Linked DNA regions of Kluyveromyces lactis. The protein of the gene in region 1 purifies or fractionates together with the protein of each later gene. This does not show direct contact. Links are inferred from orthologs where the notes say so. Each region holds a gene or a part of one and is shown in the gene's direction. Other genes may lie near its edges. The genes, in order: RMP1, POP6, RPP1, POP4 and POP5.

The links.
Region 2: the proteins of RMP1 (region 1) and POP6 purify together in Saccharomyces cerevisiae (affinity purification with mass spectrometry; 3 studies listed by BioGRID, with this or other methods). This does not show direct contact. The link is inferred for Kluyveromyces lactis from reciprocal best matches to the Saccharomyces cerevisiae genes RMP1 and POP6.
Region 3: the proteins of RMP1 (region 1) and RPP1 purify together in Saccharomyces cerevisiae (affinity purification with mass spectrometry; 4 studies listed by BioGRID, with this or other methods). This does not show direct contact. The link is inferred for Kluyveromyces lactis from reciprocal best matches to the Saccharomyces cerevisiae genes RMP1 and RPP1.
Region 4: the proteins of RMP1 (region 1) and POP4 purify together in Saccharomyces cerevisiae (affinity purification with mass spectrometry; 5 studies listed by BioGRID, with this or other methods). This does not show direct contact. The link is inferred for Kluyveromyces lactis from reciprocal best matches to the Saccharomyces cerevisiae genes RMP1 and POP4.
Region 5: the proteins of RMP1 (region 1) and POP5 purify together in Saccharomyces cerevisiae (affinity purification with mass spectrometry; 3 studies listed by BioGRID, with this or other methods). This does not show direct contact. The link is inferred for Kluyveromyces lactis from reciprocal best matches to the Saccharomyces cerevisiae genes RMP1 and POP5.

Annotation. Positions count from the first base shown.
Region 1 is NC_006040.1:1,447,137-1,452,304, forward strand, and holds RMP1 (Rmp1p), read left to right. Parts: upstream 1-1,686; coding exon 1,687-2,337; downstream 2,338-5,168. Other genes in the region: ACF2 (endo-1,3(4)-beta-glucanase), read right to left, coding at 1-1,080; SPE4 (spermine synthase), read right to left, coding at 2,406-3,296; TRM82 (Trm82p), read left to right, coding at 3,928-5,168. UniProt on the Saccharomyces cerevisiae protein: Functions as part of ribonuclease MRP (RNase MRP), which is involved in rRNA processing in mitochondria.
Region 2 is NC_006038.1:533,548-539,417, forward strand, and holds POP6 (ribonuclease P/MRP protein subunit POP6), read left to right. Parts: upstream 1-1,131; coding exon 1,132-1,593; downstream 1,594-5,870. Other genes in the region: RPP0 (60S ribosomal protein uL10), read right to left, coding at 1-459; KLLA0_B05995g (heme-dependent oxidative N-demethylase family protein), read left to right, coding at 2,205-3,677; VRP1 (Vrp1p), read left to right, coding at 4,992-5,870. UniProt on the Saccharomyces cerevisiae protein: Component of ribonuclease P, a protein complex that generates mature tRNA molecules by cleaving their 5'-ends. Also a component of RNase MRP, which cleaves pre-rRNA sequences.
Region 3 is NC_006039.1:1,284,146-1,290,695, forward strand, and holds RPP1 (RNA-binding RNA processing protein RPP1), read left to right. Parts: upstream 1-3,302; coding exon 3,303-4,160; downstream 4,161-6,550. Other genes in the region: SUM1 (Sum1p), read left to right, coding at 6-2,861; KLLA0_C14740g (uncharacterized protein), read left to right, coding at 4,681-5,241; GIC2 (Gic2p), read left to right, coding at 5,713-6,550. UniProt on the Saccharomyces cerevisiae protein: Component of ribonuclease P, a protein complex that generates mature tRNA molecules by cleaving their 5'-ends. Also a component of RNase MRP, which cleaves pre-rRNA sequences.
Region 4 is NC_006042.1:193,855-200,332, reverse strand, and holds POP4 (RNase P/RNase MRP complex subunit), read left to right. Parts: upstream 1-1,376; coding exon 1,377-2,201; downstream 2,202-6,478. Other genes in the region: AIM22 (putative lipoate--protein ligase), read right to left, coding at 1-1,109; SHG1 (Shg1p), read right to left, coding at 2,248-2,634; KLLA0_F02167g (uncharacterized protein), read left to right, coding at 2,888-4,771; cullin RTT101, read left to right, coding at 4,938-6,478. UniProt on the Saccharomyces cerevisiae protein: Required for 5.8S rRNA and tRNA processing; associated with RNase MRP and RNase P.
Region 5 is NC_006042.1:218,900-225,173, forward strand, and holds POP5 (RNA-binding protein POP5), read left to right. Parts: upstream 1-5,129; coding exon 5,130-5,774; downstream 5,775-6,274. Other genes in the region: KRE5 (Kre5p), read right to left, coding at 1-1,192; ALA1 (alanine--tRNA ligase), read left to right, coding at 1,949-4,819; mRNA splicing protein PRP45, read right to left, coding at 5,850-6,274. UniProt on the Saccharomyces cerevisiae protein: Component of ribonuclease P, a protein complex that generates mature tRNA molecules by cleaving their 5'-ends. Also a component of RNase MRP, which cleaves pre-rRNA sequences.

The DNA of each region.
Region 1 (5,168 bases):
ACCTTCCAAAGTACATGAATTAGCATAACAGCCTGCGGCATTATCAATGTTTTGGTTGGAATCCGCAACGACTTGAAAAACGCATCCGTTAACAGAGTTGTTACCAACGATAGTATTCCCATTCGATAAGGCTAAAGATAATGATTGACCAGATGGAATGGTAACATACAATGTCCAAGTGACATTGTTCTCGAGCAATATCTTGTACTTGTTAATGCCAGATCTTGGTGAAGTATCACCAGTGATACTTTTGAAACCAACAGCAGAAGACAATCTTGGGATTAAATTATAGTAAATAGCAGTAACAAATCCCATACCTTGAACTAGAGGAAAGACAATAAATTCAGTGTCAGATTTTTTCAACTGAACATCCACTGATAAGTGTTTGATGTTGTAAAATGCCAACGACATGTCTCCAGCAGAATTGAAATCAGTTGACGAATAGACTAGCGATTTGATACCCGTAGGACCAAAGAAAAATTGAGGTGGAGTCTTAGTGGTATCAAAGACTCTTTGGGCTGCGGTAACCTGATTTAGAGCTAAACCATAGTATGAATCAGTAGAATACCAAACTGAGTATGGATGGGTCCAGATTGGATTTGTCCCACCACCAAGCATGATGTTCCCATAAAACTTGTTGGTTTCAGTTGGTTTACCGGAATTGTTAGTCCCTGAAGGGAGTGGCACCTCATGATTTACCTTTGAGAAAACAGCCAAAGGTGGATCAGTGGAGATTGGCGAAGAGAAAACGTTTGTTGCCGAGATATTAGCAGACATTAGTTGATTAGTTACTTCATCCATTGTGTTAGTAGTTGACCGAGATGTGTTATTAGGGACCACCGTTTCAATTCCCTGCGTATTTGGCCTTGCAGGCAACGGAGGGGTGTTTCTATTCCAGACATAATCTCCAAAAGCTGAATCCTGAGTTCGTCTAGGAGGAATTCGTGGTGGTACCTGTGGAGGGGGCTGTAAGGGTATTTGTGAATTGGAAGATAATGGATCTGTTTCAGCATACGGAGGGGGGATCGGATCTCTCTGAAAACCATTTGGTATATTCACCCCAGGTCTCTGATACGACATACTTTGGAATGTTTAAAAAGAAGGTATAATTATGTGAAGTTGGGGCTCGAAGACTGTATTCTTTGTTTAAGAAGCAGACAGATTTCGAGTTACTTTATATTGGATAAACCATCAAAAACCGCTCTTGCAATGAACAGGATGTAAACTATTAAGTTCTCTTGTTTCAATTGGGTTCATTCGAGCATAAATTTACTCTAATTTATACTCAATGCACGACTCGAGGCTCGACGTTCCTGACACAAATATCAATGGAAAAACTCAGGCTTTTTTGCTTTCCAGTGATTCAAGTGACACAATAATCAATCAATTTAACAGAGTTCAAATTATCCAATTAACCGTTTACGGAGTGACAGGTCATCTCGCGTGCAATGATTATTGGTTTCTTTTCAATAAAGGGCGGTGCAGGATGCAATTGTAGGCTTTTTCTTGGAACATTTGTTCGAAAGATGATGATGATCTTGAAAAAAAAACGAATCGGTGTATTAAGAACATGAGATGAGATGAGGTAGAAGTGAAGCACAGATGAAACAGAGATGCGTGTCCTGGCTCTCATTTTTGTACGAAATGCTGGTTTGTTAGAGTATTGACGATAAATTACTCAATATCATGGGTGGTATTTCTGAAATAAATAAGAAACTAGTGGTGCAGCTTCGCCAAGAATTAAGAATAGTATACCTCATATATCATAGGAATAAGAACCAGCACGGGGCGACTGTATGGTGGAAACAGCTAAATATTTTGAAAAGGAACGTGGCACAGGCTGTACGTATAATTGAAGGCTTGGTTTTTCGAGGCGTTTGCCATGATAAACAGTTATTGAAGCTTCATTCGTTGTTGTATTCGATTTTGAAGTTACAGATAAAGAAGATGTACTATGATTTCAATGGTGTAATATCTTTGGGACAGTTTGTGACGTTGGGAGTAGTACTGATAGGAAATTTGGCACGTATTTATACGGTATACATGCACATTTATGATACGTTGGAAGAAGATTTCCGTAGGATTGGATGCATAAAGAACAATACCAGTTCTGTCAACCCTGGGATGTCCGACAACGAGGTACGGGAAGCTTTGGAATCTATAGCTGACGAAGAGATAGGGGAAGAAATTGGCGAAGATCTGGAAACAATGGCGATTTTTAAAAGTACAGATGACAACTCAAAAGTGCTAGCTGCCAGCGGGAAAAAGGACAATAAATACGGTAAAAAGAAAAAGCAAAAGAAGAAGAAGTCAGCTATTGATGATCTATTCGGTTGATTGTAGTTCCTTCGAGTATTCGAATATTTACATAATGTATATTTTTCTAGTGTTCAGTTTACAGAATTTCACAATGGATTTAGTACCTTTCTAGCCCATGTAGGTAAGACAAAAGCAGCGGAATGCATCTTGTTATTATAATATCTCATCTGAGATTGCTCATCCTCAGTTGGAGCACGACAGGGGTCAATGAGATTTGTGTTTGGATTCTTACAGCATGCGATCAACCCTAATTGACCGGAGGTATAAGTGGGTAGCATAGTGTAACAATACTCAGCTACTGGAAAAACTGAACGAGACGTATTCAGAAGCGTCTTCAAATATTCTAAATTCAGCCAGACATTTTCAGAAGCCTGTGCAATAACAACACCATTTTCAGTCAACGCTTTGTACAACAGCTCAAAGTATTCCTTCTGGAAAAATGCTTCTGCAGGCCCTTCCGGATCAGACGAATCAGTAATTATTACGTCGTACTTTGTACCCGATTCTGCGACATCTCGTAAGAATTGGAACCCATCGCACAGCTTCACATTTACCTTGGGATGCTTGAAAGAGCACGCCATGTTTGGCAAGTACTTCTTTGATAACTCTATGACTTTAGCATCAATTTCAACCAGTGTAGCTTCCTCTACACAAGAATGTTTCACCACTTCTCTCAAAACCCCACCATCTCCACCTCCTATAACTAGAATTTTCTTTGGGTTCTCGTGTGAATACAGTGGAACGTGAGAGATCAGTTCTTGGTACGCAAATTCATCTTTCTCACTTACCTGAATGATACCATCCAACACTAAGACATTACCATAATTTGACGATTCAAATATCAGTATATCCTGAAATTGCGTCTTCTCGTGAAATAGGATCTTGTTGACCTTCAATGAGAATGCTTGACCTGGGAAACTCTTATCACTAACTTCATTAAACCACCCATCTTTGATGCAAGGATGTTTAGATGACATTGCAGCTACTGTATTTCACTGAAAATCCTTCGATTAACGCAATGCGGTGCACTCAGACAAAATGAATCGGTGCTGCACACTTGAACTCAATTTTGTCACCAAGCTTCAACCTGGAAAGATCCTGTAGATTTATATCTCAATCGGTGGATCAAGGTCGAAGGCCTTTAGTGCAGAGATATCAGTTTCTCTCTTTTTAACGAATTTTTCAGCAGACAATACTGCAGAAGAATTCCGAATTTTAGTTCAACATATAATTCAAAGCTACGATATGTACAAAACCGCATTCATTCACGCACCATAAAGGATTATAAACCCGATTCAAGTGATTTATAGGTAATTGTATACATGCTCAGAAAAATTCAGATCCATTAGTGAGCCCTATGATGATTATAATTATGCTTTTAAATCAAGACTAGTCTTGAGTCCTTACGAGTTTATTAAAATTTTTCGAAGCTCATCGCATCGGATTTTCAATCAAGCTTCAAGATGTGAAAATATGTACGAAAGACTAAGAGGTTGACGAGGGACAAGTACTGCAGTTCATAGTTGGATTGGGCCTCAGGTGTTCTACAGTGAGTAACATAACTTTGCTACAACTTAGGGATTCGACTCTACTAGCGTCTTTCCTCCAATGCTTCATCCATTTCAATCAGTTCTTTTGAACCGGGATGGTTCTTTACTATTCTGTGTTGTGAAGAACGAGATAAAGGCATTTAAAGTTGAAGGGAACGGATACGTACTACGTGGGGAGTGGGTTGATGATCTGGATAATACACCTCTGATTAAAGAGAAGGTTTTAAAAGAGCAAGCCAGACAGTTAATTGAGAATGCTTCTAAAAAATTGAAGACAAATGACGGCGAGCCAGTTGCACAACCCAAGAAGCAGGCAAAAGTTCCAAAACCTGGCCCAGGAGCTCCTCCAGTGTATCAATATATTAGAAACCTTGCGTTGTCAAGAGATGGGAAATTATTACTTGCTTGCACCGATTCTGACAAGGCAGCTGTCATTTTCAATATCGATTTGGACGATAAAGACAACATTTTTAAACTAATTAAACGTCAGCCTTACCCTAAGAGGCCAAATGCTATAACTACATCTGTTGACGATAAGGATCTAATTCTTGCTGATAAATTTGGAGACGTTTATTCTATGCCCATCCAAAATGACGTAATTACTTCAATCAACGCCGAAAAGGCACCAATCCTAGGGCACGTATCCATGCTCACAGATGTTAACATGTTGACTGACTCTGAGGGGAAACAATATATAGTTACAGCAGACAGGGATGAACACATCAGAATCTCACACTATCCTCAAAGTTTTATTGTGGACAAATGGTTGTTCGGCCATGAAGAATTCGTTTCTACTATATGCATCCCTGAGTGGAGTGATAAACTACTTTTCAGTGCTGGTGGTGACAAATTTGTCTTCTCCTGGAACTGGAAAACTGGTGCTTTGCTATTCAAGTTTGACTATACAGATTTGATTCAAAAATACTTAACTAGTGACCATTTGGCACCAGAAAGATTCCAAAATGAGAAAGGCGATGTGATTGAATACAGTGTTGCTAAAATAGTCACATTAAAAGATGTCCCATATATTGCATTTTTCGTGGAAGCTACCAAGGTACTGTTTGTGCTGAAAGTGGATGAAAAATCTGGTGCTTTATCTTTGCATCAAACTTTAGAATTCGATGAAAAAATTGTATCTTTGACCAGTGCTTTGGATGTCAATACATTATGCATTTCGTTAGACAACAGAGACAACCAAGATTGTGATTTAGTGAAACTACTCTTACTCGAGGGTGATGTGTTCATTGAACAGAAAGATACTAACTCTCAATTGATGAATACGATAAGATCAACATTGAA
Region 2 (5,870 bases), on another chromosome or scaffold:
GACAATTTCAATGGTACCTCTGGCAATCTTGGTTGGAACACCCAAAGCTTGGAAGAAAGAAGTCTTACCTGGTTCCATACCGGTGTTGACGGCGAGAACCCAGATATCTTCTGGGGCAACAGCACCAGCTCTGGCTGGAGCGGCAACCTTGTTGGCGATGATGACTTCCTTGATATCTTGCAAGGAATCGTTGGTGAAGATGAAACCAACGTTACCCTTGACGAAAGGCAACAACTTTTCGTAGTCTGGGAAGTCAGAGATGAAACCTCTGACAGCTCTTCTGACCATGGTGTTCTTACCCATCAAGACAACAGCTCTGCCTCTCAAGTTCTTTCTGACTTCGTGCATTTGTTGGGAAGACACATTGTCAACACCAACAACGAAGACAGACTTGTATTCTTCCAAGTATTCTCTTAGCTTGGCAAAGTATTCAGCTTTCTTTTCACGGACGCCCCCCATTTCGACTTTTTTAGTGATAGGATGTTTAAGGTAGTACCTGTGGTTCTTGTAAACTATATACAAACTACAAATCTAATCAAGTACTTAACATCCAATTATGTATATTCATATGTAAAGGACGTTTTATCATAAAATTCAATATTTTTCAAGTTTGGTTTCCCTCAGCGATGAAAAATTTGAGATTTTCCAATTTCCAAATTAAGGCCCACATGAAAAACAAACAAGCATCCGTTAATCATACAGAAATAGGTGTAACTCATATGGTATATTATAAAAAAGAAGGAGCTTGAGTGAATGGTATCAGGATGTACCCTCTACGCTTGAAAACCATCTGGTGCTGAGGATTCAATCCATATGCCGGACTTGTTAATACTTTAACGTTGTATTGCTTAATACAACGGGTTTGCATTGTTTAAATGCACGTGACCACTAGTCAAAGAGGAAATTAATTCCTTTGGAGTTTTATCAAGGTGCATGGGTGTTGTGTTGACATTTTTTACATATGTAAGGGTGTAAACAGTCCGCAGAATAGCTTTCATCGTATCAATGCTCATCCCATCTCGTCGAAAAGAAATCTACAATAACTTCCCAAGTTATCGTAGCATTGAGTATTGATAATTCAATCGATGAGAAACTCGCCTTAGTTGAGTAATTAGCTACAAAGCAACAACGATGGCTTCTTCCAAACTAAAATATAACGAAATTGAAGTAGAAGGCATAGATCCTTCCACCTACGTAGAATGTTCGACCTACATCAAAGAAAAAATCATCCCAGAAACCCTGCGAAGTGCAGGTTGGAACAATGCGTCTGAGACATCTGTAGGAGCAATTATTTCGTACAGTAAAAACTCCAATATTAAACAATGTGTGGATCAACTCGCAGCTATCACTGCTGATACATTCGTACTTGTTGCTTATGGAGTTCATGTACAAAAAGCACTTTCGATAATAGAGATCTTCAAGACTACTGAAAACGGGAAAGCACTACATCAATTTAATAAACTAGACTCGTTTATTGAAATCAAGGCTGGACGTAATGAACTATTGGATAGAAAAGTCAACTTGCCTATACTTATTACCTTATTCACTAAACAAGAAGTCAAAAGCCTTAATAAATTCACAAAACAATCGTAACTTCAACGTTGACACAATTTAAAGTATACTGATAACGCTTCCAGTCAAAACATATTGTATATACCTTTGTGATCCGTCAGGGCGGACAGTGAACAAATTCCGATCGTCAAAAAAAATATCGTACCCAATTTATTTGGTAAATAGCTACAATATCGCAATTGCCATGTTCGACCTATATTTCATCTGTATTAGGCAAGCAAGCTTACCTTATCAAAATTGATGGATATTGAGTTCCGATCCCTCGCCGTAATATTTCATAACTTTAAAATTCCCTTCCTTCGAGCGATATGTTTCGAATTTCCGTTGGAATCTTCCACGTCTCCAGTGTTTTAGGGTTGTTCTCGCGCATACAATTTTAAAAAAAAAAAAGTGAGGCCACTGATATCACTACATGAGATACAGAGACGGGATCATGACAGTTTCTTCAAGTATGATTCATTATCGGGGATTTTGTTGCGGTCGTCAAAACTGTAATATAAACGGGCTGAAAGATTCATATATAAACTCTTTAAGATCAATTCACTTATATCTGGCAAATTTCAGTTCGAAAACTAAAAGATAAGAAGCGATTACGTTCGGAAACAGTATTGATTTACTTTAAGGATAGATACATGGGAATCGACTTGAGTTTGATTTTGGGTAAGCAGGTAACTTTCCCACTATTTTGCTACGTTTCGTATCAATTGTATAAAGATCTGGTTTGTGGCGATGCGAAACAAATTAATTCCAGTGTGAACATTAGTGACGATGTTTTCGCTGATGATATTGATAAGAAAAGTACTGCGCTAAAAGATAACGGTGATAAGCAAGAAGAGAGATGGGAACCTGTGAGTTTCATGAAAGACATCCAGCCATCTACAGCAGAAAGGGATTACAAATTATGGTTCGATACACCACCTTTCCCTTACCAACCTTTCAAGCCTGGTGAATACAGATTAACAATGGGTGTAAGGCCGATGCCAAATGAATATTGGCTAGTGTTTGAAAGCACTCTTAAAGATAGAATAGAAAAGAAGTGGGATGTGATCAAAAATAATTACAAGGATGTGATATACCATTTGGATCCCGCTATGATTAATTGCACTACTTATGATAATGCAGCTATCACAGACACCACATTAGTCACGATAAAGGATGTGGAAAAAGCTGACCTAACGGTTTGTGAGTGGTACAATACCCTAGTAAGTTTCTTGATCGCAAGGTTCCCTCAATACTTCACTGTGGTGCTACATCCAAATGATGAAACACCCGGTGTCTTGTACAACAGCATCATGGACGAGTATCATCCAGTGGATGCATTCCATTATCTCAAATTACAAAGTACCGATTTGCAGTTCTTGAAATACCGGTGTTGTAACATAGACATCATACCAGAAGAGTTGAAGGATCCATCAAACCTATTTGATGAGGTTGGAAGAATTGCCATAGTAACCACAGAAAAGACGAAGAGAGCTCACGAGTTGATTTTGGCGGTACAAAGAATGGTTGAAGAAGATTTAGTACTGTTGTCTCCAAATGCTAACGGCCAATATAATAACGAATATATAATGATTTCGGGATGTTTTGCATTTGCAGCAGGGTTCAATCCTCGTCAACGATTCCTCAAACCCATGACACAAATCCATGGACCTGTTCCAGAATATAAGCAAAAATTACAGACGCAAATGAATAAATTCTTCCAAACTCACAAACCCGGAAAATTAGTGATGAGGATAAACTTCTCGTTCCAAACACATTCCAAACTGTTTGTCACAGATGATAATAAGGGTACAGAGGAAGAGGAAATTCGTCCGAAAACTTTAGAAGAGATGCATGGAGGTCATGATTTGCATTACAGATCTGAAAGACAATGTCTAATCAAATTAGAAAACTCAAAATCAATGTGTTTTTCTATCAAGACGTATCTATGGAACTTGCAAGATGAGTTCTTAGCAAACGATTACTATTCACAGGAAGGTGTTATTCAGGATTTATGTGACGCAGTGAAAGGAATGCAAGATTCAATTGGACAATACAAGCGTAAACCCGAGTGGGGGCCAGCATTGCTTGAAATGCTTGAATCAGCATTACATAGAAAGTTGTAAATAACTTTAACGAACAATATTGACAGATACTCTTAAATTAACGAGTGTTGTTAATAGAGCTTGAGTCGAATGTGAATGCAGTGACGAAAAAATAAAAAAGCTTCTCCGCGACGGGGAATTGAACCCCGATCTCGCACGCGACAAGCGCGAATTCTAACCATTAAACTATCGCGGAATAGATATTTTTATGAAAGATTGAGAAGACATTCCCTCACAAGTCTGGAATACGAAACCATGTGCAAGAAGTTCATTTCCGAGACTAAATTATAAGGCTTTTTGGGTAACCAAGGTTCGAATCACAAAATACCATACGATTTAGAGATGTGCCCCAGTTTCCTGGGTAAAGGACGCTATTTATGCATCCAAAACCATTCGTGAAAATTCGTGATGATGTTTTTTAGCATTCAACAGAGGAAAATCCACAGAAACGAGGGAAACACACAGCAAGAAGCTGTGAATTTATCTTCAATTTGGGCATCGCTTTGAATCCATGCACCACTGAAAGAAAAACTGCGCACGGATCTTCGAAGATGCCACTTAAAATCTATATACTATGAGGACGGATTCCATTAGCTAAGTTAAAAGAACGACGACAGAAAATGCATTACTTCGCGTTAGGACACCTGTCACTAACAAAACAAAGAATTGACAACGTATTACATCTTGCTGTGGAATATATTAGCTCAATTTTTAATCCAATCCCCGATGGTGGTGGTACTAGCTATAGATAGTGTACATGATATATAGATTTCAGTACCTTCTTCACATAGTAAGTTGTTAAGATGCTTGATCGCCTTTGAAAACTTTTTTAAGACAAGGTCCAATACCAAAATGTTACCCGAATATATTATATTGGTAAATTATTCGTATAGGGCTGGTAACTGGGAATGGCACTCCACTAAAACGATGTTCCTCATTTAGTTACTACATGCCGATGCTACCGCGAAATCATGAAGAGGTCCAGTGAACTTCGTACTGTAGTAGTATCATAGAATCGTCTTGCATTGCCGTATTCTTCTTGATTATTGATTTAGCACCGAACTGAAAGTGTAGTGTCTGGGTGGAAAGTGTAGTGTCCGGGTATCCTTGAGGCTTCCAGATATCAATTAGCTATTTAAAAATGAAAGAAACGTCAAATCAGAGAGAAACAAACTGTTGCAGTGCATAGGGGTCCACTGCGTTTAAGGTAGTTATTCGAAAAGAATCATAGCGATACCAATTGACCAGTGTGTTTCCGCTAAAAGTTCTATAAGACTTAAGGATTTGAGCATACTTTGTTATAGATAACTTGCTGAACATAGAAATTAGAATAATATGGCTGGTCCACCTCCACCACCAGCACCTCCTCCGCCTATGTTTGGCGGAAATTCATCCAATGCTGGCTCCGCTGCAACTCCTGTCCCACCCCCAGCGGCTGTTCCAGGACGTGATGCCTTATTGAGTGATATTAGGAAAGGTGCAAAACTTAAGAAAGCACACACTGTGGATAAGAGTGCACCTGCGATTGGAGGATCAAGTTCGATGAGCCACTCTGTATCAGTATCGAGCTCAGCAGTCCCGCCTGTAGCACCATCGATCCCGACTCCAACTCAGCTTCCCGGTGTCCCTCAATTGGGAGATATACTTGCTGGTGGGATCCCTAAATTAAAACATGTTTCGGGTTCCTCTAAATCACCAGCTATTCCATCTGGAGCTCCTCCGCTTCCGGATAGCTCTTCAATCCCAAAAATTCCTTCTAATAGACCACAGCGTAAAAAGACTTTGAGAAGTGAGGGTGATTCGTCAGTGGCGGCTCCTCCTGCTCCTCCTCCAATGGCAGCACCGGCAATTCCAACAAGTCCGCCACCAGTACCCATGATGAACACACCACCGGTTCCGAAACATCCTCCAGCAAGACAACGCACAGAAGCACCTCCGGTTCAAGCACAACCTGCTCCGCCTGTAACGTTACCACCTGCACCTCCAGCTCCTCCTATAGCCGTGCCACCAGCTCCGGCACCTCCAGTACCTCTAGCACCTCCCACAATTAGCACCCCTCCTGCGGCCCCACCAGCACCTCCTACGCCTGCACCTCCTACATCTGCACCTCCAGCTCCAGCACCTCCAGCACCTCCCATAATCAGTACCCCTCCTGCAGCCCCACCTGCACCTCCAAGCATATCATTCCCAACGTCCACGCCGCAACCACCACCA
Region 3 (6,550 bases), on another chromosome or scaffold:
ACAGTATGGATTCTGATACTGCGATGACAGGCCATGACGATAATAATGGTGAAATTGGAATTGGTGAGAATGGTGTTTCCAGACAAGAGAAGGATAGTTCTGTAGTAGATAAAAAGGACAAGAATGGTATTTCTAGTGTGCAAGCGGGTTTAGAAAGTCAACGAGGTACAATTCGAGAGCTTGAGAAAAAAGTTTCTGAAATTGAGTCTATTTTACCTGAAACTGACGAAATAATTCAAAAGAGTATTGAGTCAGTTGTGGTGACTTTGAAGAACTTATCGCATAACCAGCAAGTTTTGGAAACGAAATTCGAGGACCTTTTAAAGAACCAGGTGAATTCAGATGCGGCCATAAACGATCTATCCGTGGAGATCATCAAGATCAACAGGTTGTTATCCGATAGGTTAACGATGTCCGCGACATCAGGTGCATCGTCAGGGACGATGGGAACTGCTGCGTATGGATCACCCGCATATATGTCATCTGCAAGCGTCTCTCCTCCTCATAGGGGACCTGGTAGACCACCTAAGAAGAACACTTCGATATTGTCCAATGGCGATAAAAAGGCGAAATTGCCATTCCCAAGCGATCATATATCAAAATCAAAACGTCTTTTCCTGGACCCAAGTAAAGAAAAGACGGAGTCCAACTCAGGTTATGATGCAGATGGGGTTGGCAACAGTCGATCTCGTAGTTCTGCTAACGTCAAGCAAGAGACTCCTCAGGAACCAAAGAAACGTAGAGGTAGACCTTCAAAGAAAAGCACATGGGAAGCTCAACTCACTTCTTCACAAAGAAAGACAAATGCTGCAGATAATGATACCAAGGAAAGGCAAAGCTCTAGCTCTAGACGCAAATCTCAAAGATTGAAAAGTGGTTCGCGCCAATATGATGAACAATCGGATCTTTCATCATCGTTTTCCGGTATGTCTGATAATGAAGGGCAAGATGATGAGGGCGATGTCACAGACGATCAGAAACAGTTGGCTAATGATATGCATGACTCTCGTTCCAGAAAACAGAAGGAGCTCGAAATGAAAAGAGATGAAAGAGAAAGGATGCTAGTCACCATGAAATATAGCGATCGTAACGTTACCAGGAATTTCATGGAACTCAACAAAGATCTTTTCATGGCCATGAAACAAGAAGAACGGAAGAAAAGAATGACAGCGGTGCCTTTCAGCGTTCCAGTACCGTTGGGTAAATATCAACTTTCAAGTAAACATTTGGAAGAGTTATCAAAAGTACCTTTCTCCCTGTCGCAAACAGCGGAGAATTCTTCTGGTGCTCAATCACCTTCGTCTAATCCTCCAGACTCTGCTCGCTCTGTGACACCACAAACAATTATATCAGCATATAACAATTTGGAACAACCAGGCAATGTAGGCTCAGTTTCTACGGCAAGTGCGGATGATGTTAACGGTCAAAAATCGTCGTTACTGAATTCTGAGCACAAGGATCTGAACGGCTCTGTGAAAAGAACATCTTCGGACATCGGTGATCGATCTCAAATGTCCAACGAAGCAGAGGGACCACGTAAGGTCAGAATCTTGTCTATCTTGAATGATGATGCATCTACTGGTGTAAAAACAGAAGAGAATGGCTCGGCTAGACCTCATCTGTTAGACATGCCAAATTCGACTCCTCAAGGATCTGCAGACGCATTACCAAGTTCTCAATTATCTGTTGATTCGACAGAAAACTCGCAGGATAACTTTTCCGTCACCACTTTACAATCTGGTGGTGAATCACCAAATAAGAAAAGGCATCTAACATTGCATGATCGTCGAAAGATGAGCAGGATGATTCCGATGTTACCAGAAAAGAAAGATAAAAGGGGAAGACCAAGCTCTAACAATCAATCCCAAGAAAATGCAGCGTCTTTGTTAATGTCATCCCCTGTGGAACTTTACTGCCGTGAAGGTTTTTTTTATAGAAAAGGTTCTACAATTCCAATCACAGCGGGAGAGTATTTGGATTTGAAGTTCAGACACAAAGAAGACGAATTGATTAAATTAACAATGCATGAAGAAGATTACGCCGAGTTAACAAGACAGGATAGAATCAACGCGTATTTCCTTAAACCAGACGTTGAGATTGAAACCTCAATGGCTTGTCAAGTTTTGTCCAATGTCATATTAACCGAGAGATACGTCAATTCATTAGAATATTTCCTGATGGAATTCCGTTGGGAGAATAGATTGGTAAGTTTAGGTCTAAAGCTAAGAGAATCTAAGAGAACTTGGCAAAGACGGAAAGCCTTATTTGCATTATTTGAGTTTTGGAGAGACAAGTCGAAAGATAAGAGAGGTTTCCACAATTATACATTGTTGCATGCAATCAAAGAAATGGAAAATTACAGAGTCTTCATCAATAGGTCGGTTTCATGGTTTTACAACCACATTACCCTTTTAAAAATGATTCTTTTTGATTTATGTGATAATACGAATACTCATTGGAGAGAATGGATGTTCGCCAGAGGCACTGAACTACCGCTTGTTGGTAAAAATGGCGTCGATGTCATGAATATTAATAGAGAAATCGATAATATTTTGGTTCTTGATTTCCTAGAAGATGGTAGCAAAAATTCAAACAAGAAATCAAGTTCTATTCCATACAAAGAAAACAGTGAAGGCCCTCTAGAACAGCCTTATGTTACGAATGATGTTCCCGCAGACAAGGGAACAAAGGAATTACACACTGAGCATGTCCAACAACAGTCAGAAACCCCAGTTCCGGAACTGGCTGGAAATAGAACTGAAGAAAATACAAACCATGCTACTGGGGCGGTAGCTGTAAATCAAGATCAGCACTTACCTTCTTTACCGAAAGATTCAGAAGATGTGAACTCTACGCAATGATATTTATGCACATAGATCATAATGGTTCCTTTTTGGGCGCTGTTTTTCATCAAACCTATTTTAACGGACATTTTATCACTTTATGGAACAAATAGTAAGGTATGTACTCTATAAATAAACTGACAATTATTCTATTTAGATAATATTGTTCTCATACTCAAAAACATTGTGACATGGCCGATTGGATGAAGTTTAAAGTTGTATTTTTCAACAGTTGGGCTTTCAAGTAAGGATTGTACTTCATAGTATGTTATAATATCTTCAAGTATAATTTTTTCGGAAAAGACATTACAATAATCTACCAAAAAAAAAATCTAGTAAATAATGAAACATGAGCATGAGATGAGGTATGCTGGACACTCAAATGGAAACAAAAGTTTCTGTTGAATCACTTGTAAATACTCCTTCCAAATTTGCAAAGCAAAATAGCTATTTGAAAGGATGTTAGTTGATTTAAACGTTCCTTGGCCACAGAAGGATTTTGCAACACCGCCTTCCACGAAGGAGATTAAAACGCTGCACAAGACTCTAGCGACATTGCATACACTAGGGTACACTCACATAGCTTTAAATTTCACAGTAAACCAACAGGATAAATTCCCAAAATCAATCAATGATATGAATCCTATCGATCTATCGCATTTTGATGAACTAGTGAAATCTACGGGATTAAAGCTATATACAAGAATCACAATTATTATAGATGACCTTTCAAAAGGCCAGCCGTTGACAAAGATATCGCAAGCTTTCGATATTGTGGCAGCCCTTCCAGTCAGTGAAAAGGCTGTTACTCTCGTAACGTCTAGCTTGGATGTTGATGTGCTATCATTTTACTACGACAAAAGGCTTCCTACACTTTTGAAACATCACATGATGGGGGGTTGCATTAAGAGAGGAGTCAAAGTAGAAATTGTTTATGCTAACGCTCTTCGAGATATCAGAACACGTAGGCAGTTCGTATCTAACGTGAAGAGTGTGATCAGAACTTGCAGGAACAGAGGAATCGTGGTCAGTAGTGGAGCAACCAGCCCACTAGAATGTCGTAATGTCATTGGAGTTACAAGCATTTTGAACTTTATTGGGCTTCCGAATGACAAATCTCGTAAATCCATGGGCGAGCTTGCTAGTTTGGTACTTCTAAATGGTAGATTAAGAAATAAGAGCTATAAGCAAGTCATTTGTATTGGTAACGAAGATGTAGTCAATGAAGATTTTACACAGAATTCATCGTTCAAAATAGTCAAAAGGAAAAACCCAGATACACTGGAAAGTGATGACTCGAAAAGAACAAAAAGCTGAATTACCATGAACTTAATTTTCATACTGCACTTCTACTGTTGAATCTCTCGAAGCATTCAATAGTACCGATAATACGATATATAATAGATTTTATATTTATATAAGGAAAATAGTACAATAAGCATTAAGCAAAAGATGGATACAAGGTAAATTTAGGAAATTATGGGTAAGAGTAATGATATCGGTGATTTCAATCCACTTTGAGTTCATCTTTAACATGTCCAATTTTACGTTTAGTTTCCAAAGTCAAACTTACTATCAAGTTCTAAACCCAAAGTTATTTTTCATTCTAATATCTGTAAAAAGAGCAGGTTACTGTTACCCGCAACACATACATGGTGTAAATCCGATCAAAAGCTCAGCGGCTATTGAAAAGAGTATAAAAGTATCCAGCTTGGAGACTTTACGATTTTCTTCTTCGAATCATAAACCGCCTTACATAGAAACGGTCTATTATATAAAAAACACAGACAGTACGTAAGGCAGTAACTTGGGAAAACAAGTGCCACACAAAGTTAAAATGGGCGAGGTGAAGAGTTACTTACGAAAATGGAGACGCTCTTCCATTCTTAAAAGAAGCAGTTTGAAGGATAAACGGAAAGAAAATTGGGAACAACGTATAGAGAAGTCCTTGAGCGAATGCGATGACATTAAAAACTTATTGGCTGGTCGTCCAACGACACCTGATATTGCAAGAACGAATAATAGTACATTCCTTTCCAAGCGCTCTAGGGCTTTTGTTACAGAACCGTTATCGAACCAAGAATTGGATAAAATCAAATATATGAATTTTGCAATGGAGAGAGATTATAGAGCAGGTACTAGGCCAGTGATACCGAGAATGGATTCAACCAACAGACGAAAATTGAGCGTAAATCTCACCCCGACATCGATTTCAGCAGATGACTCCGAGAATAATGCGATAGTGAAAGACTTTTCTGAGTTCATTGAAATTTCTTTCAATAGTTTGAGCATTTCCGATGAATACACACCCCAACCAAGCTTTTCCAAAGAGTCCGAGGAACCTAGAACCGCCAGTTCTAAGAGTCTAGAAAGTCTATGGAGTAAAAATGTGAAATAGTCGTAATTGGTAACCATGTTGGGTCAACTAATGACTTATCTAACCCACGAAAAAAAGCCGTAGAAACTTGAGAAAAAATAACGGCCGCCAAAAGAAAAAAAGAAGACATGAAACCCAAGAAAAAAGAAAAAACCGGATTGGCGATGGTGAATTAGAGAGGTTAGAAAACATTAATTTTCGATCAACGAAACGTATCTGCATTCCTGAAGAGGGTGCGAAAATGAAAAATCGTGTTTTTACCTAATATAGGAATTCCTAAATTAACTGAATCCAGTAGTAGTTAACCATAGATGCGAAAAATGTCAGAAAATTGTGAAACCTAGGAATGCATGAAACATTACCACTGTGGACGCGGCCGATATATGTATATATAAACGGATAAACATGATCCAGGGTACAAAGGCCATGATTTGAATCATCAGAAACCAGGCATTGCCGAATAAAACAACCAACAGATCTGGGCCAATACTTATGATGAACGTACCTCAGATCAAGTCGATCTGGCTCGATGAAGACGATGAAACAGAAAAATTATATGGTTTACAAGCTCACCAGCTTCTGGATTCTGACGATGATGATGAATTGGGCGTTGTAATGATCAATAGTGATAAACCTGTCTTAAGTAATAGGAAAAACATTAATCTTCCTCCATTGCCGCCAAATGCGTATGATAAACAATCTGGAAAGAAATCTTTCAAGAAGAAGAAGAACAGCCTCTTAAAACTGTTTCAAAATAAATCAAGTAAAGAAGAACCTCCTAAGTTAAAAATTTCTGTCCCATTTGGATTTAATCACATCTCACATGCAGATTCTAAGGCAGGATTTGAAATGCCTACTGCAGATTCACCACCACCATCTAACAGTCACTTACAGGATATACCGGAAAATACCAAATTTCCGACAAACTCAACAATCAATTCCCCAACGCAAATGACTAAAGCTTTCGTAACAGATGCAATTCCATATGCTAAACACCATCTGGTTTCTAGAGGGTCATCTACAAAACGTTCTTCGGTTGGATCCAGTACGTACTCGAACCAAAGAGTGACATCAACTTCAACAATGGCTACCTCCTTGCTAAACGATTCGCATATGCGTTCCATTTCAAAATTAACTACCCTAGAGAAGACACATTTGAAGCATAAATATTCTCAATCAGATGCCAGTGAAGTAGATGTCGATTTCCTAAAAAACTATCAGTTCCCAACTTTGCTAGAAGAACAATCAATCCTCCAGGTATCAACACCTGAAACGGGAGACAAGAAAATAGACAAATTCCAATGGGAAACACCAGTAAATTCTGCGGATC
Region 4 (6,478 bases), on another chromosome or scaffold:
ATTACACCCTTCTCGACCTTTATTGTAACGTCATTACAAATTACCTCAAACCTTGGGCCTGACATAAATTTCCATTCTTTGCTCCGTAAGTTTTCGGAGATCTCTGTGATCTCGAGTAAAGAACTTGATTCATCACAATAAAACATAGGAATTTCAGAGTCATCAACCAGATTTCTGAACTGATCCGTAATCAAATTGCAAAAGTCATCAATTGACGATATTGCTTTTCCGCCAATGTTATCAACCTTAGATCTAACACTTTCGACACTATTACATGTCCATTCAACCCCAGGAATTACATCCGGTTTTAGTAAACCTTTGAATTGAGCCAGGTCTGAATCTATTAGCATTGTGCCGTGGTGATAAGCTTTTCCTTTAGCTATTTTGAAAGCACTACCACTTATCTTATAACCTTTATAGATCAAATCGCCTCTATCGTTCAACGTAATGTTCTCATTACTTAACCATTGTACAAGTTGCTGATTGAAGAACTCTCTGCGGAAACTTTCTCTCGACGTCAAATACGAATAGTTAACATTTCCTAAATCATGCACTACTGCACCTCCACCTGAACGTCTTCTTACAAAATTGTACCCTCTTGATGCGATATTTCTCATGTACGTTTCCTTCCATGGGTTTTGATTCTTACCGACAACGACACATTTATCATTGGTATAAAGCAGTATTCTTTCATTTCCCGTTTTGTTCTCAGTTAAAGGCGTATTACGAAACACATAGTCCTCTAAAGCTAGGTTGAAGTATGGGTTGGTAGATACACTTCTGATGACGAACCTTCCATTACTTTTTACCGCGTCTTCCAGCTCCGCTGGTGAAAGTACACCGACAGAATACAAGGAATTTAGCTCTTCATTTATTTCATCAACTTCAGAACGCTTGTTTGATTCAATATCTTTTGTAGTAAGAATGTTAGCTTTATCTGTTGGAGTGAAGAGCTCACGATAGATGTTGTTGAGCTCTTTGTATTTTTCATCTGTTTCATCCAGTTCAAATGGAATCTGATTATTTGCTGGAGTATATAGTCGTTTTGGAACGGATATACCACTTCTCAATAGCGTTGTCGCTACTCGATGCGTACATTTACTGATCATGGATGCTTCTCACCCATAGAGGTCCTCACAAATTGTTCAGCCCAACGAAATTTATATCTTCATCTTCACAACGTTGTGCATGGAAGTAAATCAAATATCGGAAGCTCATCGGGTAAAACTTGAAAAATTGAGATGAGATAAACTTGAAAGAAACATTCTGCCGAAGGGACAACAATCTTACCGGTTTTAAAGCTGGGTACAACCAGTATTCGGTAAGTGTTGCGTTTTAAAGCTGTTACTTCGCGAACGGATATACGGGCTTCCAAAATGGATCGTATTCAACCTTTTATAGAAGAGTGCTTATTCACTAAATGTTTTGATAATCCAAGGAAACCTATCAATGAGAATAGATTAACACAGACGTTGTTCTTGATGCCAACTGATGGAGGTCTGTCTACCAAGCTTAGAAAGAAGAGTAAGGCAAAACTTCTTCATTCAAGTAGTATGGGTGGATCTGCTGGGTTAAAACATCCAAATTACAAGGCAGTGAACAAGAATTCAAGAGTTTTGTTGAAGGAATATATAAACAAATGCAATAATGCATCCGCAAGTTGCAAAAAGTTAGCCAAGAGACTAAAAATTTCAGATAGAGACCAGCTACAAAGGGTCCTTGAAGAGAAACACAAAGATTTATTGGAGCAACTGCCGAATTTTGAAACTTTCTCCTCCATGTTCGAAGATATATGGTGTCCATACATGAAAGAATTGTTGAACATCCCAGATAATCACAAAGTTGGAAATCCATTACCTTTGAACTCTCAGCAAACTTTGATCAAGCTCTCTATGGCTGATTATAACGGGTGTAAGTTGAAGGTATCTAAATCCAAAAACAAGTCATTAACTGGGAAAAATGGTATTGTAATATGGGATGCTCAAAAGACATTCATAATCATAACGAAAGGCGGATTAGTCGATGAATTGAAAAGCATACCGAAGAAAGGAACAACTTTCGATTTCGAGATTCCAATCAATGAAGAAGAATCTTTAGCCTATACAATTCTTGGTGATAGATTTAAATATAGAAGTGTTGATAGAGCCGGTAGAAAATTTAAGAGTCGCCGTTGCGATGACCTATTATATTACATTAGTTAACGAAGTAAAATATATATGTAGCAGCCTTGCTACTTTATCTGTTCAATCAACTATCATTAGTTTTGGCTTCAAGGATAGTTCTTATCTTTTGTCTCGTCGTCGCATCGTCAAGTGAATCACTCAGAAGCTTCTCCACATCGATATTTGACGTGTTTAAACTCTTGAATCCGTCTTTAAATAATTGGCCCTCAAGAAGAGCAGTCGTGGTACCTCTGTTCTTGAAAATTAAAGACTCATCTTCATTTACCCTATCACGAACTAAATCCCTTACTCGGCTCTTTATGAATTCGTCCAAGCTAATATCACCCTCTACATTTTGAGATAGTATTTCATTCTTTAAACTGTCTAAATGACCCTCCTTCTTAAAAGTTTCCGCCAAATATTTGGCAGGATCTAAAGACTCTTCTTTCAAATCGTTACCATTACTATTCATGCCGTGTACTACCCTTAGGTGATTGTGAAACCATCAATACCAGACCAAGGTAGCAATTTCTTACACTGAATTGCAAAGAAAAGGTCTGCAAAATCGCCAAAATTTCCAGTTTTTTGGCCAAGACAAGATAGTTCAATAGTCAAACCTCCATTCAAGATGCACTTCAACAAAGAAGTGGCAGGAGCAATAGAGCTTCTTGTTATACGTTGAGCCCTGTGTATGACACCTGAAAGATATGAACTATTAACTTCCCATGAATATTCGAAACGGAAAAGAGCTAACATGGTTCACCTACGGTAATTTAGTGAATAAATCAGAGGATGAGTTAAAAGATGTGAATAAACGACTTACACGATGGATTGACCAACTAAGGTACTCGGATGCTAATGGATTGGACGACAATAAGAACCGTTTACTCGATGTCACAAGAGGTTTCTTACAAAGCTTTGACAATGAAATGCAGCATATGACTAACACTATTGAAAGTCCATTGACTATTGGGAGCTTGGCAAAACACATCCTAACAATAAAACTTCAACTAAGGAAAATACAGCCTCTTTTCTTACCTTTAGAGCGAGCACTACACAAACTCGGGTTAAATATACGACATTACTCACTTCTCGTACAATGGCTGGTCACCATTGTTGGATATAAATTATATTCTGAGTTGAACGATCTAATTAGAAGAGGGTTTGAAATTGAGGTTGAGACAAGATCCATATCGAATGACCAGTTTTATGAGGTTTGCAAGTTATTTTCAGACTTAGGATTTGATTCACATTATCATCATTTTTTGGATCCGATATCCCTACCTAAGAACAACGATGTTAATCCACGATTTATCTTATCTATTCTCGAGGGCTTGGTATTAACCTTCAAAACCCAATTGCAAGTACAGTCAGATATTAAGGACTTTGAAGCGGAAGCTTATACCTTCATGAATTATTTGCACAACGTGACTCTCCAAATATATCCCGAAGAAGTTTTTGCAGTGACTCGTGCCGGTTTTTTTGCTGTATTTGCTGACGTTGATTTCTACAAAGCTTCGATCTCACAGAAACTCGGTTCATCACAACCGCTCAATTCTCAGCGTATCAGCTATAATATATGTGGTTTACAAAGTGTTTTGACCGAAAAGGATATACTATCTGCTAACCTCGAAATTACTACGAAGTGGGTACAAGATTTGACTGAGGTTGGGCCTAATTACCACCGCCTCTTGATCCGAATGATGGATTTCATTCTTCAACAGCGCAAGCCTATAATGAGCCGCCAATACGCATTTGAATTGGACTCTAAAAATACTATTAAATTCATGAGACTGATGGTGAAACACATTCTTACTTATTTTCCAGGCACTACCAACATTGGAGATGTGTTGGGTAAAAAAGCATACAACATGACTGAAAAAGAAAGAAGATGGCTAACGAAAATAGGAGTATTCTTGAAGAACACTCGACAATTTCAACCATTTTCTGCTTCGTATTTTGAGCAATACGTTATAAAAGAAATCATTCGAGATAATCTAACCATAGATCTAGTCAAATCTATTTTAGTTGGCAAGAAACTAGAACTTGACGCTCCCCTCGCTCGCTTTTACATAGTAATGCAGCAGGATGCTGGGACACTAAATAATATTAACAGGATGTTCAGTCATTTGTCATTAAAGATAACGAGAAACAATAGGAAGAACGATATCATCTTACCAGCAAAAATATTTCCTAATATTTACTCAGAAAATTCGGCAAAACTTCCTTTTAATCTGCCAGGAAAATGGGTTAACAAACACGAACCACGGATTACAAGTGATGGTATTAATGTACACTTTTATGATCAACCGCATCTACATAGAGTCATCATGAAACCTACAATTTTTCAAAAAACCAACATATCCATAAACTTCAATTTATGTCATGCTGTCATTCTTGATACATTGTTCAATAAAAAACTAAGCTGGTCGCTAGATGAAATGATTAGTGCTCTTTCCGTTCGCAACCAAGCAATGTTCAGCCATTATTTATCATCCTTAGTCAAGCACGGACTCTTGATCAGGAAAGAAGATGGCATATTTGCACTTAATCTTGGATTCAAACCTAACAGTAAACTTCTGGTGAATAATATTTTCACAATACCATGAGCTCAGTATACCAAAACTTCTACTGTTACGTCATTGGCTGCTAGTTACGTAGCCAACACAATGTACTTCCTTTACCTGGCACGTGACTCGTATGTCTTTTTGATATAGTATTGGGCAAGTACGTAGGATCATATAACACTTAGTATTTCAATTGTTATGGGACAGTATGTATCGCATAAAGGTTCCACCCTCAACGTACAGTCAATGTGACATGCCGTTATTGGTTCCCGAACGAATCAAAAGCTCAAAAGTTCTGTACGATTCTCTGTTATCTGAGCTCGAACTGCTGCTTAGACAATATCAAATCCCAGGAGATGACCTTAAACACGATGAAAAGATATATTTCACTTTGCAAAAATTGATTAGATGTAAAGTACCGAGGCTTGCTAAGGCTTCCAGTAATTCAAGTCAATATGCTGCTGTCTTTAAGGACACGTTTGTTGAAGATCTCTGGTCACTTCTTAGCAAATTGATAAATGAACAGGTGGACGAGGAAGATTTCACGAATATAGAATGGTTAACAAACTTATGTGAGTTAGAAGATGCTTACAAAAAGATACAGGGCAAGGTGAACTCTTTGCAATATTACACCAAGGCTTTTCTCCGGAACCTTCCAAATAGTTTGGAAAATATCTCCTGCCGATCATTAGAAGGCTACGCAACGTTAGTCTTTTTCTCAAGAATAGCAAATCGATTGCACTCGCAACTACGACAAACTATCGAATCGTTTATAGTCGAAGCGTTAGAATCACGTACAACATCCCAGTTCAGTTTGGTCAAGAACATTATCAGGTACGATATTCCAATTGATAAATCGTCAGTGTTGGGGCTTTTTGAAGAAACCACTAATCGCATAATTAACTCCTTTACTTATAGTTCTGACCACTTCAAAAGAGTCGACAGTCTTCAAAAACAAATCATATACTACTGTTCCGAATATCAAATATTATGTCAAAATTTAAGCATCAATACTGTGGATATTCTTTTATTGAAGTTTAAATACTTCGAGGATTTCTTCGATAGATGTATGGATGATCAAATGACGATAATAACAATAATAGAAGAGCTAGGGGATATGATATATGCCTATTACCCGTGGCGAGGTGAGGAATATGATAACTTCGTAGTACGAGTTATATGTAAAATGCTTGACGAAGACTATTTGTCGTCCTTCATCTCCACCTATTCCATGTCAAGCGAATCTTTTGATTCTAATCGAAAGGCAATAATGAAGAATATGATTACATTGACTTTTAATGCAGACATAAAGAATATTGAAAAAGTTGACAGATGGTTGTGTAAGGTTTCTGAGGAAGGGCAATTTTCTGGGATTAAAGATCTGGTTAGATCATGCTGCATTTTTATGAACGACATCTTTCCGCCAGACTCAAAACAAGACGAGTTACTATGGAACATATATAAGAGAAAATATTTTCTACGGTCGGTACTAAAGTCATTGGGGGGTTCCGAGCAGCTGATTAAAACAAACGAGAGATTCGACCAACAGCTACTTTGCTGTGGGCTGTTGAAGTCAGTTCACATTCTTGAACTCCAGCAGCTAAACGACGAACTAATTGAATCATTGAGAATGAAGAGAGCTCCAAAGATAACTCCTGTCATTCTTAAACAATCTAACATCTCGGACTCGTTGGATTCATCCGAAATTTCAGGACTCATACTACCGGAACCATTAAATGGTATGGTGAA
Region 5 (6,274 bases), on another chromosome or scaffold:
TGAAGAAAACTACAGCTTCAGAGAAACCTGGAGTACGATAGAAATCGTAACGATTTTTGTCAAAGTAAGCCGTATATGAGTAGCCAACCGTGAAATATTTCAAAAAGTTCTCTAACTCAGCACCGGGGAACTTACTTAGTTTTTCTTTTAAATCATTAACCCTAGACCATTCCTTAGCGAGGATAGCAGGTAAAGTAGTTTCATCTAATTCTGACAATCTCCACTGTTGGCCGTTGATGTACAAGCCAAGTAATTCATGAGAGATTTTTCTCTTATTGAAGTCTTTAACAATATTCTTTGCTGGTGTTGTATCAATGTTGTCTTTAGAAGCAATGACTGGTGCCACTGCAGGAAAATTGTAGGACAACGACTTGAAATATTCAAAGAAAGAATCGAAATCATGATCTTCATTGAATTTCTCCAACAATAACGCGGTGAATTTCATATCCAAATCTTCTAGTTCCTTTTGATCCAAGTATTTCAATTTGACTGGATCCTTAATTTTTAGATCAGAATCATCGATTACAAGGTGAACATTTGCCTTTTGGTCCCAGTTTTTGTCCGATAATGTGGCACTCAATGCATATTCTGGTGTATCACCTATGATACAGGTCGGTCTCCAAGTCATTCTAATCTTACCAAACTTAGCCTCATTATAAAGATTTCTGTTGAAATCAGCAAACTCTAAATCTGTTTCACAACCGTAAAGTACCACAATTGGAGCAGAAGCATTAGTTCCGATTGCAATCTCTCTATCTTTTAACACATCGAAATCTGGAACAAGAGCTTGAGCATCCAATTCAGAGGTCTTGAAATAAAATGAGTCATCGCTCTTAGAGTATATTTTGCCATTCAAAACAAAGCAAGTTTCTTTGAATTCATCATCAATTGGTGCAATCTGTACATATTTTGAAATGGCACCGGACAAGCCTTCGACTTGTTGTACTTTCTCAGCCGAAGCTGAACTTATAGATTCCTCAATTCCTTCATCGTCATCTTCATCTTCTTCATCCTCTTCTTCATCACTTAACGTTATTTTTCTATACAACTGCATCCATTGGTCGGTAGACAATGCATCGTAATCAACAAGGGACGCTGAAAGCCATCTCTTACCAATTCCTTCATTAAATGCTTGCGTTATGTGCAGGACAGTTAACAGCAAAAACACAATTCGTAACCTAAACAAGACCATCGTGGTTTTGCACCGTTTTAGATCAGGAAACTCGTTCACTCAATCTTGTTGGAACACAAACTGTCAAATTGTGCTGATCTAAATACTCTCTTTCATCTCGAATTCTGATCTTAATAGAAGGCAAATATAAACCTTAAAAATCTTGCGGGATCTTCTGCCAATAAAAAACTTTTAAGCTGGAAATATGAAGCATGTTAAAGTCCTACACATGTTATAGAATTTGTAAACCTCACCATTACTATAATGCTACTCCCTAAGCTAGTACTATGGGATTTTACGCATGTCTATCAGATCCACTGGCAAGGTAGCTTCAGCCACTTTCGAATGAAGAGTCACGTGAGTGTATTTCTCACGTGACTCCTAGTTTCTTTCTTCATTGGCTCTATCTATCTGTGAAACGGAAAGCGTTGAGAAAAATATCAAAAAGTGATTTGAAGATATTCTGGAATTTTTGAACAATTAACTTATACATAAAAACGGATGAGTAGAAGGCTTGGACTCAGGTTCAGAGGCTACTACTGCTCTTTCGTTTGTTGTATTCGAAAGTTATTGAAAACCTTAGGCGGCATATTCAGAGAACTAGGGGGATTTCTGAACTTTTTTCCCGTTGTTTCAAGTCGTTAATTTAATCATTACTCATCGTTTTTAGCGGTTTGATTAAATCTTCCCGTTCTTGATTAGAATTTGCTTTCGAAGACGTCCTTAGGAAAGGTGTTTCGCGTTAATTGCAGGTTATTTTCCAGTTTTACAGCTAGGATGACGATTGGTGATAAGTCTAAGTGGACGGCTGCCAACGTTCGTTCCACATTTTTGGACTATTTCAAGTCTAAGGGCCATACTTTTGTTCCATCTTCACCCGTGATTCCATTCGATGATCCAACTTTATTGTTTGCCAATGCTGGTATGAATCAGTATAAGCCAATCTTTTTGGGAACAGTTGACCCATCCAGTGATTTTTACAAGTTGAAGAGAGCTACGAACTCTCAAAAGTGTATCAGAGCCGGTGGTAAGCATAATGATTTGGAAGATGTTGGTAGAGACTCCTACCACCACACTTTCTTTGAAATGTTGGGTAACTGGTCGTTCGGTGACTATTTCAAGAAGGAAGCTATTGAATACTCTTGGGAATTGTTGACCAAAGTCTACGGTATTCCAGGTGATAGATTGTACGTCACTTATTTCGAAGGTGACGAAAAATTGGGTTTGGAACCAGACTTCGAAGCTCGTGATTTGTGGAAATCCGTTGGCGTCAAGGATGATCATATCTTGCCAGGTAATGCCAAGGATAACTTTTGGGAAATGGGTGAACAAGGTCCATGTGGTCCTTGTTCTGAAGTTCATTATGACAGAATTGGTGGTAGAAACGCTGCTCATCTTGTTAATCAAGACGATCCAGATGTGTTGGAAATTTGGAATAACGTTTTTATTCAATTCAACAGAGAACAAGATCGTTCTCTAAGAGCTCTACCGGCTAAACATGTCGATACTGGTATGGGTTTCGAAAGATTGGTGTCCGTTTTGCACGATGTTAGATCTAATTACGACACCGACGTTTTCGAACCTTTGTTCAACCGTATCCAAGAAATCACTGGGGTCAGATCATACACTGGTAAATTTGGTGCTGAGGATACGGATGGTATTGACACCGCTTACAGAGTCTTGGCTGATCATGTTCGTACGTTAACTTTCGCCTTGGCTGATGGTGGTGTTCCTAACAACGAAGGTAGAGGTTACGTTTTGAGAAGAATTTTGAGACGTGGTGCACGTTACGCTAGAAAGTACATGAACTACCCTATAGGAAACTTTTTTTCACAATTGTCTGTCACTTTAATCGAACAAGTTAAGGATATGTTCCCAGAAGTCGCTAGAGACCCATCTTATTTGTTCGAAATTTTGGACGAAGAAGAAGCTTCTTTCGCAAAAACTTTAGACCGTGGTGAAAAATTGTTTGAAAAGTATGCTGAAGATGCTTTGAAGAAAGCAGACAAGACTTTGGATGGTAAACAAGTCTGGAGACTATACGATACTTATGGTTTCCCTGTCGATTTGACTGAATTGATGGCTGAAGAACAGGGCTTAAAGATCGATACAATCGGTTTTGAGAAAGCTAAACAGGAATCATACGAGGCTTCTAAGAAAGGTGGTAAGAAGGGTGCATCTGATTTGATCAGATTAAACGTTCATGAATTGTCTCAACTTAACGGTGATAATGTCGCTAAGACTGATGATTCATCTAAGTATGGGACCGAAAACGTTGAAGCCACTATTTTGAGAATATATGATGGTGAGAAATTCGTTGACTCTATGACCGAAATTGGTAAGCAATATGGTGTTATTCTAGACAAAACTTGTTTTTATGCCGAACAAGGTGGTCAAGAGTTCGATACAGGTAAGTTGGTTATCGATGGTGAAGCAGAATTCAACGTCGACAATGTTCAAGCCTACAACGGTTATGTTTTCCATACCGGTTCTCTTGGTGACGGTAAACTATCTATTGGTGACAGTATAATTGCTTCTTACGAAGAGCTACGTCGTCATCCCCTAAGAAATAATCACACTGGTACACATATCTTGAACTTTGCTCTGAAAGAAGTGTTGGGTAATGATGTCGATCAAAAGGGTTCCTTAGTTGCACCGGAAAAGTTGAGATTCGATTTCTCGCACAAGAGAGCCTTATCTTATGAGGAATTAGTGGAGGTTGAAAAACTCTCCAATGAAAAGATCAGGGACAACTTAACTGTGTATTACAAGGAAGTTGCCTTAGATTTGGCTAAGACTATCTCTTCTGTCCGTGCTGTCTTCGGTGAAACTTACCCGGATCCAGTTCGTGTTGTTTCTATTGGTAAGGCCGTTGAAGAAGTCCTAGAGAACCCAACTAGTGAAGAATGGCAAAAGTACTCCATTGAATTCTGTGGTGGTACCCATGTTGCTAAGACTAGTGACATCAAAGAATTCGTCATTGTTGAAGAAAGTGGTATTGCCAAAGGTATCAGAAGAATTGTTGCGGTTTCTGGACCTGAAGCCTATGAAGTACAAAGAATTGCTACTGAATTTGATGGCGAATTAACTGCAGTTGAAAAACTGCCTTTCTCCCCTTTAAAGGCCCAAAAGCTAAAGGAGCTAGGTGTCAGACTAGGCCAACTAACTATTTCCGTTATCACCAAAACTGACTTGAAGGATAAATTCAACAAAATTGAAAAGGAAGTTAAAGATGAACTGAAATCTAGAGCTAAGAAGGAAATTAAACAAACTCTGGACGACGTCAAACATCACTTTGATGCTAACAAAGAGTCTTCTTTCTACGTCAAGCATATTGACATTCCAACTAATGCTAAGGCCATCACTGAAGCTATCAATCACATTAAAACAAACTCGAAGGACAAGTCTATCTACTTATTCACTTGTAATGAACCAGACGGAAAGGTTGCTCACGGATGCTACATATCTGACGCAGCAATTGCTCAAGGTGTTGATGGTTCTAGTTTAGCCAAAACAGTATCCTCTAGCATCGGTGGTAAAGCTGGTGGTAAGGGAAATGTCTTCCAAGGTATGGGTGACAAACCAAACGGTATTGACTCCGCTGTTGCGGAAGTTGAAGCCTTGCTAAAAGAGAGACTGACTATCTAATTTCACCCGCTTTAATATAAACTCTTTGGCTACGATTGGCTTGAAGTTAATCTCAAGTCTCAAAGTTTTGTAAATATATGCATGAGAACTCTGATTTTCAACTCAACTATATATGATATTACTTGAAAGATATGCTACGCCTTTTGTTATATAGAGAATGAATTATCTGATATTTACACAATCTGTTAGTTAAGGTTGGTGATGCGGCAATAATGCATAAAATATTGGACATGCTTGGCGTATTCTCGTTCTTCTTCTGTGACTTGAATGCGACAAACCAAAAAAAAAAAAAAAAAAAAAAAAAAGAGAGATGCTTCACATTACAAGATTTAGAGTTATGATGGAGATCAACTGTGAAGGAATCAAGATTTTGATAAAGGACGGTTGTGCAACAACGTTTATTCGGGGGTTTCATCCTACTATTAATAAAACTTGCTGTCATAATAGGCAAAATAGAAGAAATCCAATGGTTCGTTTAAAGAGCAGATACATTCTTTTCGAAGTACTATATCCAGATGTAGATGATGAGTACGAAACAGTGCCAGATATAACCAAGAAGGACATTTTAACCACGCATCACAAAGTATCACCAAATACTATCAGTCCGAGAAATATTTTGCAGGAACTACGAAAACAATTACAGGTGAATTTCGGGGACTATGGCTTGGGAAAGGCTACGGCTTTGTTACAGATCAAATACTTTTCGAATAGAACATCAACCGGTATAATACGATGTGGCCATGATGACCATCAGTACGTAATAATGGCACTTGCTTTGATGAACCAGATTGAATCTGTTGGGCCCATCATAATGAATCCAATAAAAGTTAGCGGAACTATTAAAAAAGTTGAGTTATTTGCTATCAGAAGAAGTCACCGTTTGAACCGAATACTTCTGACAGATGATAGGAATGATGAGTTTTCTTCAATCACTGACGATGAAAATAATGACTGATTCGCTGATTTCATTCAATTAGTAGTGCTTGAATATTATTACATACAATTATATCAGTATATCGGTATCGCACAATTAAGAAGTATGAGGCTTCTTACGCACTTGAAGACCGTATTCTCTGGCATGCTCGTTATCTTCCTCATTCTGTTCCGCATTTTTGCCATCATCAGCAGCGGAGAACTCTACCGGTCCAGTTCTTCCTTTCTTATTTGAGAGTCGATCAACAATATCTTCGTTTTCTAAGTTAGAACCAGTAGTTGGCCTGTAAATGTTGTCAATCTGGCTATTATTGAACAATGGATGGTCGAAAATTTGATTTGAAGATGATGCCACAGATGATGCCGCTTTCTTGAACAAGCGGGAATCGTACTGAAGATCTGGGGTCTCGGTGGCTTTTGCAGCATTTAAAACAACTTTATCAGAAACATCTCTTCCTTGTTGGTACGCCAATCGTCTTAACTTTTCTGCTGTGCTCATTTTATTCGACCGTTCCAATTCGC